Oreochromis niloticus: one gene and its partner. The protein of the gene in region 2 purifies or fractionates together with the protein of the main gene of each other region. This does not show direct contact. Links are inferred from orthologs where the notes say so. Each region holds a gene or a part of one and is shown on either strand. Other genes may lie near its edges.

Region 1 (8,066 bases), on a different chromosome or scaffold from region 2:
CAGGCTTCTGAAAGTATTTGCTACTCACATGTTTCCAAGTAAAATTACTGACAATTCCTATCTAATGTTCATGTGATCTACATTATGGACTATTTTATGTTGAGAAAACTGTTTTACTTCACTTGCTTCTCAGAAAATTCACATATTTAATTATCTAGAGAAAAAAAAACCCTAAAAGTTTAGGCTTCATGTACCCGTTTGCTCTAGATGTTTTCTGACTTCCTCCTTGCACTCATCAAACTTCACCTTGAACTTCTGAGCATCTGTAAACAGAACATAATGTAACAATTTAAAATCCAAGTTAAAAAGCTCTGGGAGAATTGATGTGTAATGTTGAAGTGGGTACCTAAATACTTACTTTCAGCATTTAAAAAGCGGATTGCCAGAAGTTCGGGTTTGGGGCATTCATCTGCATAATCAGCTAGTGTGTTCCACACCCATGCTCTGTCACTGCCAGCATTGGGCTTCAGCTCCATCATTGGTAAAACTGTGGTTAACAAGAACACATTAAGTGCAGGTATGACCACAGTCACTAAAAGGGATTTGTTTTAAAAATCTAGTAGTTTGCCCCCTCCCCATCTAGTAGTTTCATAGGGAATTAGACACACAGGTGCACCATTTCTTTATCTCCCCTCAGGAGTGAATGGAAGAGTAAAACACTCATGTATCTCAAGTCAAACACACACACACACAAAATAAATAAATAAAAAAAAATAAATAAATAAATAAAAAAAAAATCACAGTCTGGATTGTATCACAACCGGATGAGATTACAAGCCCCAGTACCTCCAACACCCACACCTCAACCTCTCGTTTCCTCATCTATAGTTCTGTTGTTGCCACTAATACCAGGGATTTCACTCATTTAACCATTGTGGGGAAGGGGGACGGGGGGATCACATGGGGCCTGTGGTCTTTTTGTATTTACATGTACATCAGAAAATGTTTGCAATAAAACCAAGAAAAAAAATCCTTGGACACACCAGTCAGTGAGCACACCCAGGATTTAAATAACACATCTTCACACCACTCTACCTGTACCACCACTCAGAAATATTGTTTAGGTTACATATGGCCAATTGTTGTCATGACATGAACAGCAATGAAATCAGATTTCTCAATTTGACTCACTGTGATGGTTGGCACAGATCTTTAAAGTTCGATCTCTCCTCATCAGGAGGCGGATTGTGCCCTTCTCTTTGTGTTTCAGCAGCTTGACGTCTCCAGTTCCTCTCTCCTTCCACTCTGGCGGGTCGTTTTCAGAGGCAAAACGATATAGTTTGGCCCGCCTATGAAAACAGCAGAACACCTCAGTATTTCGAAACTGATCAATGTATCTCAGTTAATGTGTTCACATGGTAAGCAACTTGCATTTTAAACAGCTCCTCCTCATCCTCCTCTAATGTTTTCACATCCTGCTCAGGAAGAGACACGATGGGCTCAAAGTGGGGATCATGATTAGAGTCTTCTGCACCATCTGCAGTGGTATCGTGGTCTTCCTGGTCCTAAGAGGAAAAGCACATTAAATTAACTCAATTCCCCCCCCAAGAAACTACATGGTTTTAATGTCATTCTTTAAATTCAACATTTGAATTCTAACAAATGAGCCACAGAGGATGAATTCTTCACTAGTGTTAATAGAGTTCAGTGTTAAAGATCCATCATTTTCTTCCACTTATCCAAAGGCTCTCAAATACAAAACTGATAGACAACAAACGTATTTAATATTAAAAAGTTAAAGAGAATAAAGATGCTAACTATTAAAACCATTGGTCAACCAGACTTAAGTGATAAAATCGACCTGAGCTATTATAAGCATCAATTAACTAATTATTAAAGGGACACTTTATTCTTACCTGCTGCTAGCTTTGTTTGCAAGTACACTGGCTACCCGCATAGCAAGTTAGCACTAACCCAATATATCGCTTAAGTCTTTTCTAATACAGGTATCCTAACATTAACATGACTGACATTATTAAATAAAAATCAGTACCACCATATTTCAATTAATGCTGTCACTGTGTTGGATATTTAGACGCATACTGTAAAACTTTGCTAAAGTTGTAGCTTTTACTTTATTATTGTCATCAAATACTTATCCAACTTTATTTTTTCCTAAGACAACTCGTTGTGAACTTGCCTAGCTAGAAACACAGGCCTTTCACTAGCCGGCTAGCCCGGAGCTACCAATCGGACTTTCTCTTTTCTTGCACCTCTGTGCATTTTGCTCAGCACAACCGCCGTATTTTTTCATTAACTTGTGTGATTTTCGGCCAGTCTATTCAATGTAACACCGTCATTGCTAACAGACAGTAAACAGCGCCCTGCTATAGCGCTAACACTAGCTAACTAATGTTAGCAAGTATTGTGCTTGGCAGACAAAGGCAAGCAACCTAGCTAACCTCGTTGCCCTGAGCTAGTGAGAAGTATACTAACTGAAAAATACCCCGTTTAAAAAACTGACCGTTGTGATCGTCTGGTAGAAGCACTAATGTTCTTTCGCACATCACCTCCCTATGCTAATGTTCACAGTATGAAGCTAATGTTAACACGTTTGCTGGCTGGACACTTTGAATTACTGAGCTCGTGAACTGTAACGGAAGTGTTAAGAGTGGAAAATTTTACAACGGTTACACTGTGCATTTTCATAAGTCCATTGGCGTTCCGTTACCTTTTACATCACTAAAAAAATATCAATTAGTGGATCATAGCATCACCAAAGACAAGATGATTGTCGGCATTTCTTGCACACGGCTTCCTTTCGAAACTTTGACAAATTATGACACATGAAAAACAATGTTTGTCACAAAATTGTTATTTCCTAGCAATCATAAAGCATTACATGACCTAGAACGATAGACCTCACCTTTGGGTCTGCCATATTATTGTAGATGTTTGTAGATTATGAGAGTAGTTTGAGAGATTCAAATCCCAAACTGGCCGCCGTTTCCCTTCAGCTTCTCTCACTTCCTGCTACAGCTTTCGCGCGCCGAATTCTCTACGCATGTCCGCGCTCACGCTGTCACAGCACGCGCACCGCCTCTCTCTTCTCAGGGACAGCCGTTTTCACAAAAATGTTTTTCCTGAGATATTATTTTCAATAGAAAAACGTAACCACTTTTATCGAAAGAAAAACAGAATAACCAATAAACAAACAAACCAAAAAAACTTCGGTTTCAATAATTGTCACTTCACTTTTCGATAGGATATATTAACATGTTTTCTACAGGATCAATAACTTCTGCATACCAGTTGTAGTACCTTTATTATGTAAAATGAAATACTTGTACAACTTGAAGTGACTTTTATCCAGACTGTGACATCTGGTGGTCTGCTTGACAGCCATAGAAAAGTGCTACAAAAAGTACTAGTCCATTTACCATTTATCAATCATGGCTTCAGTGTGCAAGACAGAATACGTGTGTGAAGGAGAGAGAGACGGGGATAACAGTGAAGTTGCAAGGAGAAGAGGTAGTGAAGATAAATGAGCTTAAATACCTGCAGTCAATCATCCAAAGCAGAAAATAGTGCTGAAATACTTAAAGGCTCAACCATCTTTCTTTCTTTTTTAAACAAGTGAACTAAACAACAATATGTAATGGAGACATTACATTACAACAAAAGGACAACAGAACAAAGGAGAGATTGTGAGATATTAGTGGCATAAAGCTGAAAAGTAGTAGAAAACTTGCTGGTGAATGAAGCCAAATGTATCCTATCTAAATATTAACAGACTCTTTAAAATACACATTTCCCTCAATGAAAGCATGAAAACAGAGTTATGAGTGGTAAAAAAAAAAATTTCTAATGAAACCAATGAATGACATTATTTTCATAGTGAAGTCTGGTTTTAAGACAATCTGAAAAAAAATCACACACGATTCTTAATTGGCACATAATTGTTCTGAATCAACACACTTTTTCCAGTATGCTATATAGCATACTGGAAAAAAGTGGGACTATGGCAATATTCCATACATGTGTTTAAACTGTGTAAAGACTATACCATACATACAGCCCACTTTGATCTTAACTGGGCTTAATGTAAATGTGAAGAAGTTTAACTACACATTTAGTCCCCGAGATATCGCAATAAAAGGAAAAAAGTCATTTCAAAACCATTTCTCCGTTTTTATAAATTCTAAGTAAATGCTGTAGTAAAGAAGAAATCTGTTAACGCGATTCTTTGAGTTTAAATTGTATGAAATAAACGTGTAAAATGACAGCAAAAGTTCTGATACTCCATTGCCCAGACTGTGCCGTAATTATAAAACACAAAACAGAAATGAAATGAAATTAATTAACAGAAATTCTGTCCAAGTGACCAAAGTACACAAACTGAAAGCCGGTGGGATGCCTGTCACTTTAACAAAGTTCATAGTTCAAGCTGCACGTGCTTGAATCAACATGGCGGCGCCTGCTAGGTAGAAGTGGAGCAGAAAGTAAATACAGGCACGGGAAGGTAAGGAGCTCTCGTGAAATGTTACCGCTAGTGAAAAACAGCACGCACGCAAAGTGTTCCGTTAAAATGCCAACGTGGTTCCTTTGAAGCTGCGAAGAATGTAACTTCCTGCTCGAGCTAGCATCAAGTCTTTCAGTTTGCCGTATAACCAAAACTTAATTACTGAAAAGCAGTGAATGCATGTACTGCTATGTAGGATAAACGCATTGTTTTACATATTCACCGTGACACGTTAATTGTAGCAGTTATTTGAAAGTTACACAATACCCTAAACCAGTCTTGAGAGTAGAGCGTGCGCGTTTGAAATAGTACCACTGTGTTAAAAGTTACCAGCAACATCTAGTCTTTGGTAATCTTTATGGTACTTTTTTTTCACGTTTTAACACCGTGAATGCAAGGTCCTGATAGGCCTACCTATTGTTTGGTGTTTTAGGAATCAGCAAAGTGATGGCAGATATCACTAGCAGCCCAGTGGGCATCACTCCGCCATCCCTCTCCCTGGAGGAGAAGCCTGATGACCTCGCCAAAACTGATGCTGCCAAGCCTGATGTTCAGGCTGAAGGAGAAAGCCAGGCAGCTTCTGACCCCGGCGTGTACCGCTACATAAAAGAGGACCTGTTCACATCGGAGATATACAAAGTGGAGATCAGGAATCTGCCCAGGTTCGTAGGCTTCAATGACCTGAAGAAGTTCTTGGCCAAGCACGGCCTCAACCCACACAAAATAAAGCTGTTTGGCAGGCAGACGTTTGCTTTTGTCACCTTCAAGAACGAAGAGGAGCGCGACAAGGCCATGAAGATGGTGCACGGCATGCAGTGGAAGGGCCAGGTGCTAAGTGTCAAGCTGGCCAAACCCAAGGCAGACCCCATCTTGAGGAAGAGGAAGGAGAATGAGGGGGAGAGCGCGGGAGGCCCGCCCCCATGCAAACGAACAGATGAGGGGGACGAGGAAGAGGAGCCGCTCAGTGTCCAGATAGCCAACGTTGTGACACCTCTGTGGAACGTGCCTTATGACGAGCAGCTGAAGAGGAAGGAGCAGGAGGTGGTGGCGGTTCTGCAGAAGCTGGCCAAGTAAGTGTAATATAATACAGATTTTGTGTGATTTTATAGGTAATATTGTGCTTTTTTTTTATGGGACTTCCTTACATGTCATTACAACTTAAACCTTGATGTTTCAGAGAGATCGGCAGCACCAACAAAGCCATGGTGCCGTGGCTGTTTGCACAGAAAGGGAAATACAACAACATGTGTTGTCCTCTGGAAGCCCTCCGACCGTCTCCTATACAGGTATACTTCAACTAGTCACCTTTATTTGTCCATAAAGGCAGGTGGTGATGCAACAGTTTAAAAAAAACAAACAAAAAAACACACAAGATAAAAAGTGACTAATTAGAGATGAAAAATGGCATAGATAAGTTTATTCTGTTTCACAAGCTCTCAGCTGTTTTCATGTCTCTAAATATTGTATATAATTTAATACTCATCCTTCTGACCCTGTTTCTGATCATGGCAGACAGAGTACAGAAACAAGTGTGAGTTCCTCATATCGGTGGGTGCAGATGGCGAGGATAAAACCATCGGTTTCCGCCTGGGGAAATACAAAGGAGGCTCCTGTGCTGTGGTGGGGCCGGCTGACACGTGCCACGTGCCGCCGGAGGCTAAGAAGGTGGTCAGCGAGTTTCAAAAGTTCATCAGGTATTATTATGTGTGCTCATGAGAATCTAGGAACAATTTAGTTTGGGGAACTAAAGCTGCTTGGAAAAAGTAGTTGAACCTAAACAAAACAAGAAGATGATCAAATTCATAATGTACGTGTGATGTTATTTGAGAAATATCATACAAATTAGTCACATGCTAGCAAAAAAAAAACTGAAAGCAAGTTGTCCGAATGATTTTGTTTCTAAAAGCAACTAATTGCTCAGTCTTGCTGTGATTGTTTGCAAACAGGACAACTCCATACTCTGTGTACAGCCCAGAGACATATGAAGGACACTGGAAGCAGCTGACTGTACGTACTACGAGGACCAAACATGCCATGGCCATGGTGTTCTTCAACCCACAGGTAATGAAATGTTGAAACTGAACTCGTGCCCCATGCTTTTAAAGTTCCCCCTTTTGATTTGCTTTATTTGTTTAATGACTCTTAGAAACTTGAAGAAGAGGAACTTGGTGCTTTAAAGAACTCCATGAAGGAGTACTTCACAGAAGGAGAGGGGAAAGACAGCGGTGTGACCTCGCTGTACTTTGTTAGAGAGGGCCAAAGGTAAAACTAAACTATATGCTCAATAAGTCATAATCTGTATGAATTTAATGACTGAATGTCATCTCAATAATACTCTATTTACGTAACTCCTTTTATTTTCTTTTTGCCTGTAAAGGAAATCTCCAAATCCAGAGGATCTGCCCTGTGAGCTGGTGGCTGGAGAGAGCTGCATTCAAGAAGAAATGCTGGGTTTAAAATTCAGGATTTCTCCTCATTCATTCTTCCAGGTGAGGAAGAGCAGAAGCTGCATGTTGTGGAAGTTATTAAGTCTGGTTTGCAACTAGAATATTTCAGGATTTCTTTCTGAGGATCAGTGAACACATGTTATGGCAGGCATGGTAATTCTTTTCTGAAGTTCTGATCTCACCATGTTATCCTTCTGCAGATGGGGTGAAACGGTACTTCTCTGTGCTGTGAACAAGCAGCTAGTCTCTTCTAAGGCTCATCACAGAGCCTAACAAACAGCAGTAGATTGCTGTACTCCACCATGCTTTACTTTTTTGCAGGCATTCCTAAAATGTGGAAACATCTCGAAATACAGGGGTTAACTCAAAAGTATCCTACAAGCCTAGAGTGACTGAATTTAATACATTCATCTTATTAATCGGTGGCTAGGACACTTGGGTATGGTGTGTCCTTGGTTGGTTATTGCCAAGGCAGCAATGACCAACTTCATTGATGGTCCCAGTTGTGTTTGCCAGTTTTAACATCAGGGGGTTAGCCTCCATTAACATTCTGTGTCTGTGTGCTAGGTGAATACAGGAGCTGCAGAGGTGCTGTACTCTGCTGTGGGGGAATTAGCCAAGCTGGATCAGGACAGCATACTACTGGATGTGTGCTGCGGGACAGGAACCATTGGCATATCTTTGGCTAAGGTAATGTTTTTTGTGTCAATGTGTAAGTGTTGTGCGCATTTTCTCATTAGTCAAGAAGCAGGACAAATGCACGCTTACCAGGTGTCATGTTGCCTTTTTTCCCACTCTTATCTCTAGAGGGTGAAAAAGGTGATTGGGATTGAGATGTGCCAGGAAGCAGTGGAGGACGCCAAAGTTAATGCAAAGCTGAATGGTAGGCGTCGTGAACATCATCGCTTTTATTTTTTGTAGCATTTAGTTTGAGTAAAGTGCATAAGTTATGGTATTGATGTGATAAACTTTAGTAATTGTATGCGTGCTGCATCCCTCACTTTCTTTTTTGTGTTTTAAGGTCTAAGTAATGTTGAGTTTCACTGTGGAAAAGCTGAGGATGTGTTCCCCAACATCCTCAATGCTGTCGTTTCACCCAGTGTGACTGCTGTCGTAGATCCACCACGAGCAGGCCTACGTGAGTGCACGTTATGACC
Region 2 (7,250 bases):
ATATTAACATAAATCTACAGTTTTTTATCCACCAAAAACAGAAAAGGTGTGTGCTACTTACCAAGGCCTTTCCTGCCTCCTCTGTTTGAAAAGTGTTCAGGCACTCTTCCCAGCTGCCCCTGCTCAGCTGAGCCGGACGTGTATAGATTTCCTTCCAGCGTCACCATTACCATGTGATCGTTACCTAGTAAAGAAATCAGTTACACAAATATCCCTGTTAGGAACTCATTTATAGTGCGCACACAGTAACATAAAGCACTAAACAAAAACTTTTTCTTTTTTACCTGAAACTATTTTAACAACGTGTTCTGTTAAAGGGACTTTAACAGGTAGAGCACACGTTTTCATCGGCTCCAGAAGACCAATGACTCCATTATTATCCTAAGAAAAGAGGGTAATATGTAGACATTATTTTAGACAGTCAAAACATTAAGTAAGCAGTTGCAATTTCAAAGTCTTTTCCCTACATTGTGTAGAATTACAAGAAGATTATGATTTTATTAATCAAATTTAAATGCTTTCTGATTCCACTGCATACATACTACAATATACTAAAATAGTTTTTATAAATTTGTTTTACAGCATTAATAAATGTTTAGGAACAACATTTAGGTTTTGGATAATAATATAGTGTTGAAGGCAAAATGATTTGAAACTTTTGTAGACATAGTAAATGTAACAAAGAACAAAAACAATTACATAGAAAGTAATGGAAGGGTGATAAAAATAGTTGCTGAGACAGCACTCAGGACCAGATTGCTCCCTAACTAGCAGTTCACTAACCCTGAAGGAGCCCCAGATGTACACCGATCCATCCTCTGTGAGTGCGGCTGTGTGGCTGTCCCCTGCCGATACCTGGACCACCTTCTCATTCAGCGTCACCTTTCCCGGGATCATCTCAGACCCCTCCTCTGATGTGTCCCGACCAAGAGCCCCTTCGTCATTACAGCCAAACGTGTAAATCTAAACAAAGAAAACAGTTTACATGAGGAACTAAGAAGCTCTTTGTTAAACACTACAAAGAGGTTGCCATTACATTTTTTTAAAGTGAGAAATAAGAAAAATGTTTGCTTACATTTCCAGTTTCGCTGAGGCACACGGTGTGCATGCCTCCAGCTGTCACCTGCACAATTTTCTCTGGCAGGGACAGAAGTGCTGGCTTCTTCCTTTCAATGACATCTTCGCCTAAACCCAACTGTCCAACATCACCTTGGCCCAAAACAAGAACTTGCCCTGCCTCTTTGGAATGACTTCTGTGTGAAACTGAAACACATATACAACCAATTTCATAGTGACCATTGAATTTTATTGGTTTGATGGAAAATACAAGAAAATGATTGGGGGGGGGATAAAAACACTGACAATGTAGTGTGATACACTTGGAGCCAAAGCCTTCGTTTCACATATGTGCATAATACTTGCTTAACAGAAATATATTACTTCAGCAAACTCAAATAGAAGTGGTGTAGATGTTTAAATGCAATGCCACTTTTTAGCTGGACTATCAGTTGTTCAAACTGAATCTGGTTACCCCTCTATAAACCCCTGTTTTGAAAAAGGAAGTGACTTACCTTTCACCTTTTTGGAGTCTTTATCATCTTCCACAATAGCGGCGGACTTTCTCTTGGTGGTCGTCTTTTTGGCAGGCATGATAGCAACACTTTTGGACTTTAAGAAAACATAAGGTTGTGTGTAAATTGGGTGCGTTTCTTAACTAACTGGATAATGTGAGTTAAACAATACAACAAAGTAATTTAAACTATGCTAGAATTCTTACACCACACAAAATTAAGAAACAAAAAAGCTAAACAGGATAGTTATTAGATACCACAAATGTCTCAAATTTACAACACAAGGCAGATAATTAAGTACATGAACAGCTGACATTTAACCTACAAGTTATTTGCATGTCTACCCTGGGGATGAGTAAAGTATACATCTCTCTCTATATATATTACTTACTGATACTCATGATGAGTATTTTAATTGCAGACAGAAAAGCAACGTGGACCACAATAACAAAACACTAGTGTAACCTGGAGAAAACCAGGCTACACTAGTATGATCTCTCTAAATACAAAAGCGTTTATAGACGACAATCACCCCCAAACCAGAGTCCAGACCACAGTGGCTCTTAGACAGCACTACAGACTAGCCAGCAAACCGACATAATACACAAAAAGCCTTTATTGTTGTTATAAGTCTGCCCACCAGTTCTTAGGGTTCAACAGCTGTCGGAGCCCAATTTCAATGGTTCTTTCACCCCACAAACAGCTGTGCTTCCTTCACTCCTGCTTCTCATGCTGACAAGAGACCACTGCCCACAAAATAAGGACACGTGGTACAGTTTGAAATGAGAGTCAGTTTCAGCTTTTAGTCCCCACTATAGATCGTACGACAGACGCTGGGATTTCATAAGGAAGTACTTGGATAGTGCCATCAGCTCCTTTACAGGGCTGGACAGTTTAAATTAAGCTGCGTGATCTAACGCTGGCAGTGCCCATGTGCCCTTGCTAACATTCAGTTAACTTGGCTGTTGAACGAGTTGTATATGGTGTAAAGATTGACTGTAAATATTTGTGTCACAACGAGCAACGAACGCAGCGAGAAAGCAAGAAAGAAAATATAAGCTGTTACAGCTTAACCAAAGTTAGTTGGCCGGCACTGAAAGTAAAGCTTTTCAGCCTAACCTAACGCCGGCTAACTGTTTGCTAGCCAATGCTAGCCAATGCTAGCTGGGGTGTTAGCGTGACATTGAATGAATGAAACCGAGAAACATAATTTAACAATGTAACTGCGTGCGATTCAGCGGAGCAGTATTTCTCGATACTTGTTTAATCCATCTGTAAAGTGTAGGAGGTGATAATTTACTGACCTGTGAAATATTGAAGAGTGCAGTTTGAAGTGAACGTGCACAGCCTGGTTCCCGGTCTCGAGACGTGCAACGTTACGTTCTGTAGGACCTTTGGAACGCCCGCCTCCTTAAAGAGACAGTAACACAGGAGGATGGAGCTGATGGACACAGACAGAGGTTCACGTGTATAAGTGTATATATGTATATCTATCTATCTAGTATAAAGGGCATCAGGCGAAGCCATTTATCTGCGTAAATGAAGTAATACTTGGTGCTGGAGAAAGTACTCCTATCACCTTTCTCAGAACCGAGTAACAGCACTGGAACAGGTAACTGTGGTGAATGAAACTGGCTACAGATCAGTTATATATGTAAAAGTAATAACGTCTGGTGAAACACTCAGTTTTTATTATAACCAAAGATATGAGAGTATTTTCTACTCCTCCTTCTTCTTGTTTTGGCTGTTTCCTTTAGGGGTCGCCACAGCAGATCATCTGGCTCCATCTCACCCTCAGTACCTCAAGTACTTCAAAAAGTGCAGAATTTAAGTAAAGGTACACGTCAATAGCTGTAATAGGGCAGTGTAACAGAGTTATTGTTAACAAAAAAAACAAAAAACAAAAAAAACCAACCCCTACAACAATGTAAAAGTAGTGGTATTTTCATCTAAAGTTGAATGTGTAATATAAAACCTTTACCTTATATATTTAATAGTTCTGTTATCTTGTACAATTCACTAATTACGGAAGCTGTATGTAATGTAAAAAAAACGCTGACCAGCTGATATTAAGACAGGGGAGGTGGGCATCTTTTGATTTTCACCTTTATCCATCTTGTATCGCTTTTATGTCTCTAATTGACATTAAGAGATAAGAATTTATCAGTAACCTACAAACCTTTTTTTAGGTTGTCCCTTATCTGTATATTTTGTAACTAGATTTCCTTTTGTCCAACCCAGACCTTAAAGATCTGTGAACATATTTTACCTTCAGTCTTTTCTTTCTTTCTTTAGCTGATGCTACAACATAGCCACTTCCTCACCCTAAAGCAAGGATGTCAAACTCACTTTACACAGTGAGCCACATACAGCTCACTTTGAACTTAAGTGGGCCAAACTAGCAAAACTCTCAATTTTCTCAGTGTGAAGACCTTTAGCTACACATTTAATATGAAAAAGTGCAATTTCAACTATACCTCTCGGTTTTTTGTACACGATGAAGACATACTGCTGTAGTAAATGAAAGAAATCTATTAGCACAAATAAATAAACAATTAAAATTACAGAAAAGGTTCTTGCAGCTCACTGTCCAGACTTTTCAGTAATTACACAATTGAAAGATGTTGGTAATTCACAGAAGATTATTTTTTCACTATTATAATTATTGACTTATTTTTACTGTGGGCCCATTGTAAAAATAAATTTCTATAGTCCATATGAAAAAGCAGGAGCTTTTGATTATTGATTATTATCTATGGCTTAATTACTCCCATATGGGAGATTTTATCATTAGGAAATGATGACACCCCCACCCTATGGTGTCACCTTTTCCAATAATCTAACATATAACCTATTACCTAAAATATATTCTAATTTACACTAAAGGGCCTTAAACCAGCTAATTTTTTAAAATCAAAAGACAGTGCAAAAACTTAAACCGCCACCAGGTGTTGCTGCAAACCCACTTTTTCTTTAGACGTTCCAGCTTAGACAAAAGACTCCACCTGAACACAGTCATTAGGTAAGAGAGGTCTACTGGACCTCAGTTGCAGAGTTGTTTCACAAGAAGGTTCCAGGAATTGTAAGATTTTTAATTAGATCCAGACTATTTACAATTAAAAAGAAGACTGTCAGCTCATACAGCTCCACATTCAATTAAAAATGAACTCAGATTTACAGAAAGGTGCACTTTCATATTCCCATTCTTGTAGCATTTAATCATAAACTCATGTTCTGCTTAAAAAAATAGCAACCTATAATACTTTTATATTTAAAATTTCTTTTCAAATCAAAGGAAGACAAGATATACAGAAGCATCAGATAAACCTATATCAACTTATACACACAGCACTGAGAACCCTGTAAGCTACTGGCCAGACAACAAGACAAGGTAAAACATTTCTGCAGTTTCAAAAAGTTCCAGCCAAACTGAGTTCCTGTTGACCGATTATACATTTTCAGGTGTTTTTTTTTCTCTTTTTTGTGATAAATCCCTGATCTACACTTGAAGCAACTTACATTTAACTCTTAGTTTAGACACTATCGTAACGACCTTATTTAAAATGGCTACAGAATGTATTGCATGTTCAATCTTTAAAGGGAAGTACAAAAACTTACAAAAGAAAAAAGTATAAATGAAGAGAGATTATCCAGACGCGGTGGCACTGGATTTTGTAATGGCTCATGCAGTGGATTGCAGAAATCAGTGATATGAAAACCAGTATTGGGTGTGTTGGCACGCATTAAAACACCAACAGCCTCCTGACCTTTTCCTATAGCTATTAAAAGGCCGACACATCACAACCACAAACACAGGCAAGCCAAATAATAATAATAATAATAATAAAAAAGAAGGCTCAAAGAAAAGCTCTCACTACCCTTGTGATCAAAATTGTAATAGAAAATATTTTGTGCATCACACAATATTTTGCAATGAGATCTCTTCCAGTTTCACTCTAACGTATCACAGCAGCAGTCTGTAGAGTGGATAAAAAACACACGATATCCCAGAGATGTCCAGCTCTAAAACAGAATATCCCAGTCTTCAGCCAACTCCTGACCGTTTGTGTCTATTATTACTGTGTGAAGTGTTATAGGTCATCATTATTGTTACCATTTTTATTCTACGTTATTACATTAGCGAAGATGAGTTAGCTTTTCCATATACAGTAAAGAAGAAAAAGAAAAAGGCAACACAGGACGAGGCCGCATTAAAGGTTGTAACTATATCCGAGTCCCTGAGGGGCACCACACAACAGCAGAGTGAGAGTAAGCCCTGTAGGTCCTTTGCCACTTCTCCACTTTATTGGCACGTGGTTCCCCCTTGCCGTCTGGGAGAAATACTGCATCTGGTCTCCACCCACCAACACCTCGGTTCAGTGAAAGCAATGTAGTGAGAGGGCGATGGAGGACAAGCATGAAGCATTCTCGTGTGGAGTCGGTTCCAGGCTTTCCCTGATAACAGTACATTCAAGAGACGCAAAAGGGCGATCTGTCTGCATAGGGAGCAGCTGCTTCTTTGCCGGAGATCTTAAGTGCTTCTTTATCCGGAAGCAGGGATGTTAAGGCCGATGGAACCTAAAGAAAACAAACAGCTCTCATGAGGCAAGATCACACCTTCGTAATCCTTAAGCTATTAATGCAGGGAAATTCATTATATCGCTATTTAAGGTACAGATTTTTCTCTAAAAGTCTTCTTCTGCCAAGGTTTCATTGTTAGTGCTGGATTCTGCCATTTAACCAGGCATGCATAAGAAAGCTGACCAATCAATCAGTTTCTACATGGATCTCTCTGTTTACTTGTCACAAGTCTATTAATGTAGTAGCAAATCACCACTGCTGCTAATTCATATTTAAAGTGTTTAGGTGCAAGCAACAAAGATGGCTTTAAGTGTAAAGCAAACACAAGACACACAGTGCATGTGTAGCCAAGGCAGCCGACGTCTACAGACTAAAATAAGTGACATCCTGAAGACTGTTAAACAGTAAGTCCTTAATGATTGAGGGAGTATGAAATAAACACTTGACACAGTAGCAAGCTAACAAACTCCTTTAGCTAAAACCTGCTGCTGGGGGGAGATGTCTTCAGGATGAGCGCCAAGGTTGGCTGCAAATGGCAGAAAGTGTTCAAAGATGCATCACTCTCAAGTGTGTATTACATATTTCATTGTTTCCCTGACACAAACAGGAGAAATAAATAACAACAAAAACAAAACTGTGTGACGTTTGCATGGCTTCCCTGTGCTCCAGGTACCCGTCTTCCTCCCACAGTCCCAGGTTTTGGGAGGTCATGCATGTGAGCTCAATGGGTGATTCTAAATTGGCCGTAGATGTGAAAGTGAGTGTGAGTGGTTCATCTGTCTCTCCTTTAGCTCTGCGATGGACTCATGAGCTGTCCAGAGTGTACCCAGTTTCTCGGCCTATGACAGCTGAGATAGACTCCATACCCCACCAACATGAAGAGTGGTGTAGAAAAACAAATCAGCAAAACACAGTACCTCACTGTTTTGACCAAGTCAATCAATCAGCCAGTCAAGTTTCAACTAAAAGGTATACCTTGTGTAAATTCTGCTCTCTTCATGAACCTCCATTTCAGTGCTCTTATAATCATTGAGCTCCTTCCGGATGGCCGCCTAGACAAAACAGCAATTCGGTTAAACATGAACTCAGAAAGAAAAC

What was found.
Region 1: the proteins of rcc1 (region 2) and ranbp1 purify together in Homo sapiens (affinity purification with mass spectrometry; 3 studies listed by BioGRID and IntAct, counting the BioPlex papers as one, with this or other methods). This does not show direct contact. The link is inferred for Oreochromis niloticus from reciprocal best matches to the Homo sapiens genes RCC1 and RANBP1.

The regions. Positions count from the first base shown.
Region 1 is NC_031977.2:9,595,526-9,603,591, forward strand, and holds the start of ranbp1 (ran-specific GTPase-activating protein), read right to left. Parts: upstream 3,032-8,066; 5' UTR 2,882-3,031; coding exon 2,867-2,881; intron 2,783-2,866; exon of another isoform or gene 2,465-2,782; intron 1,506-2,464; coding exon 1,372-1,505; intron 1,290-1,371; coding exon 1,132-1,289; intron 488-1,131; coding exon 359-487; intron 264-358; coding exon 195-263; intron 1-194. Other genes in the region: trmt2a (tRNA (uracil-5-)-methyltransferase homolog A), read left to right, coding at 4,910-5,532, 5,640-5,748, 5,975-6,156, 6,409-6,523, 6,609-6,724, 6,840-6,951, 7,477-7,599, 7,717-7,792 and 1 more. UniProt on the Homo sapiens protein: Plays a role in RAN-dependent nucleocytoplasmic transport. Alleviates the TNPO1-dependent inhibition of RAN GTPase activity and mediates the dissociation of RAN from proteins involved in transport into the nucleus.
Region 2 is NC_031976.2:7,339,775-7,347,024, reverse strand, and holds the start of rcc1 (regulator of chromosome condensation), read right to left. Parts: upstream 3,014-7,250; 5' UTR 2,876-3,013; intron 1,669-2,875; 5' UTR 1,651-1,668; coding exon 1,572-1,650; intron 1,264-1,571; coding exon 1,076-1,263; intron 964-1,075; coding exon 784-963; intron 382-783; coding exon 285-381; intron 185-284; coding exon 62-184; intron 1-61. Other genes in the region: phactr4b (phosphatase and actin regulator 4B), read right to left, coding at 6,134-6,149, 7,128-7,204. UniProt on the Homo sapiens protein: Guanine-nucleotide releasing factor that promotes the exchange of Ran-bound GDP by GTP, and thereby plays an important role in RAN-mediated functions in nuclear import and mitosis.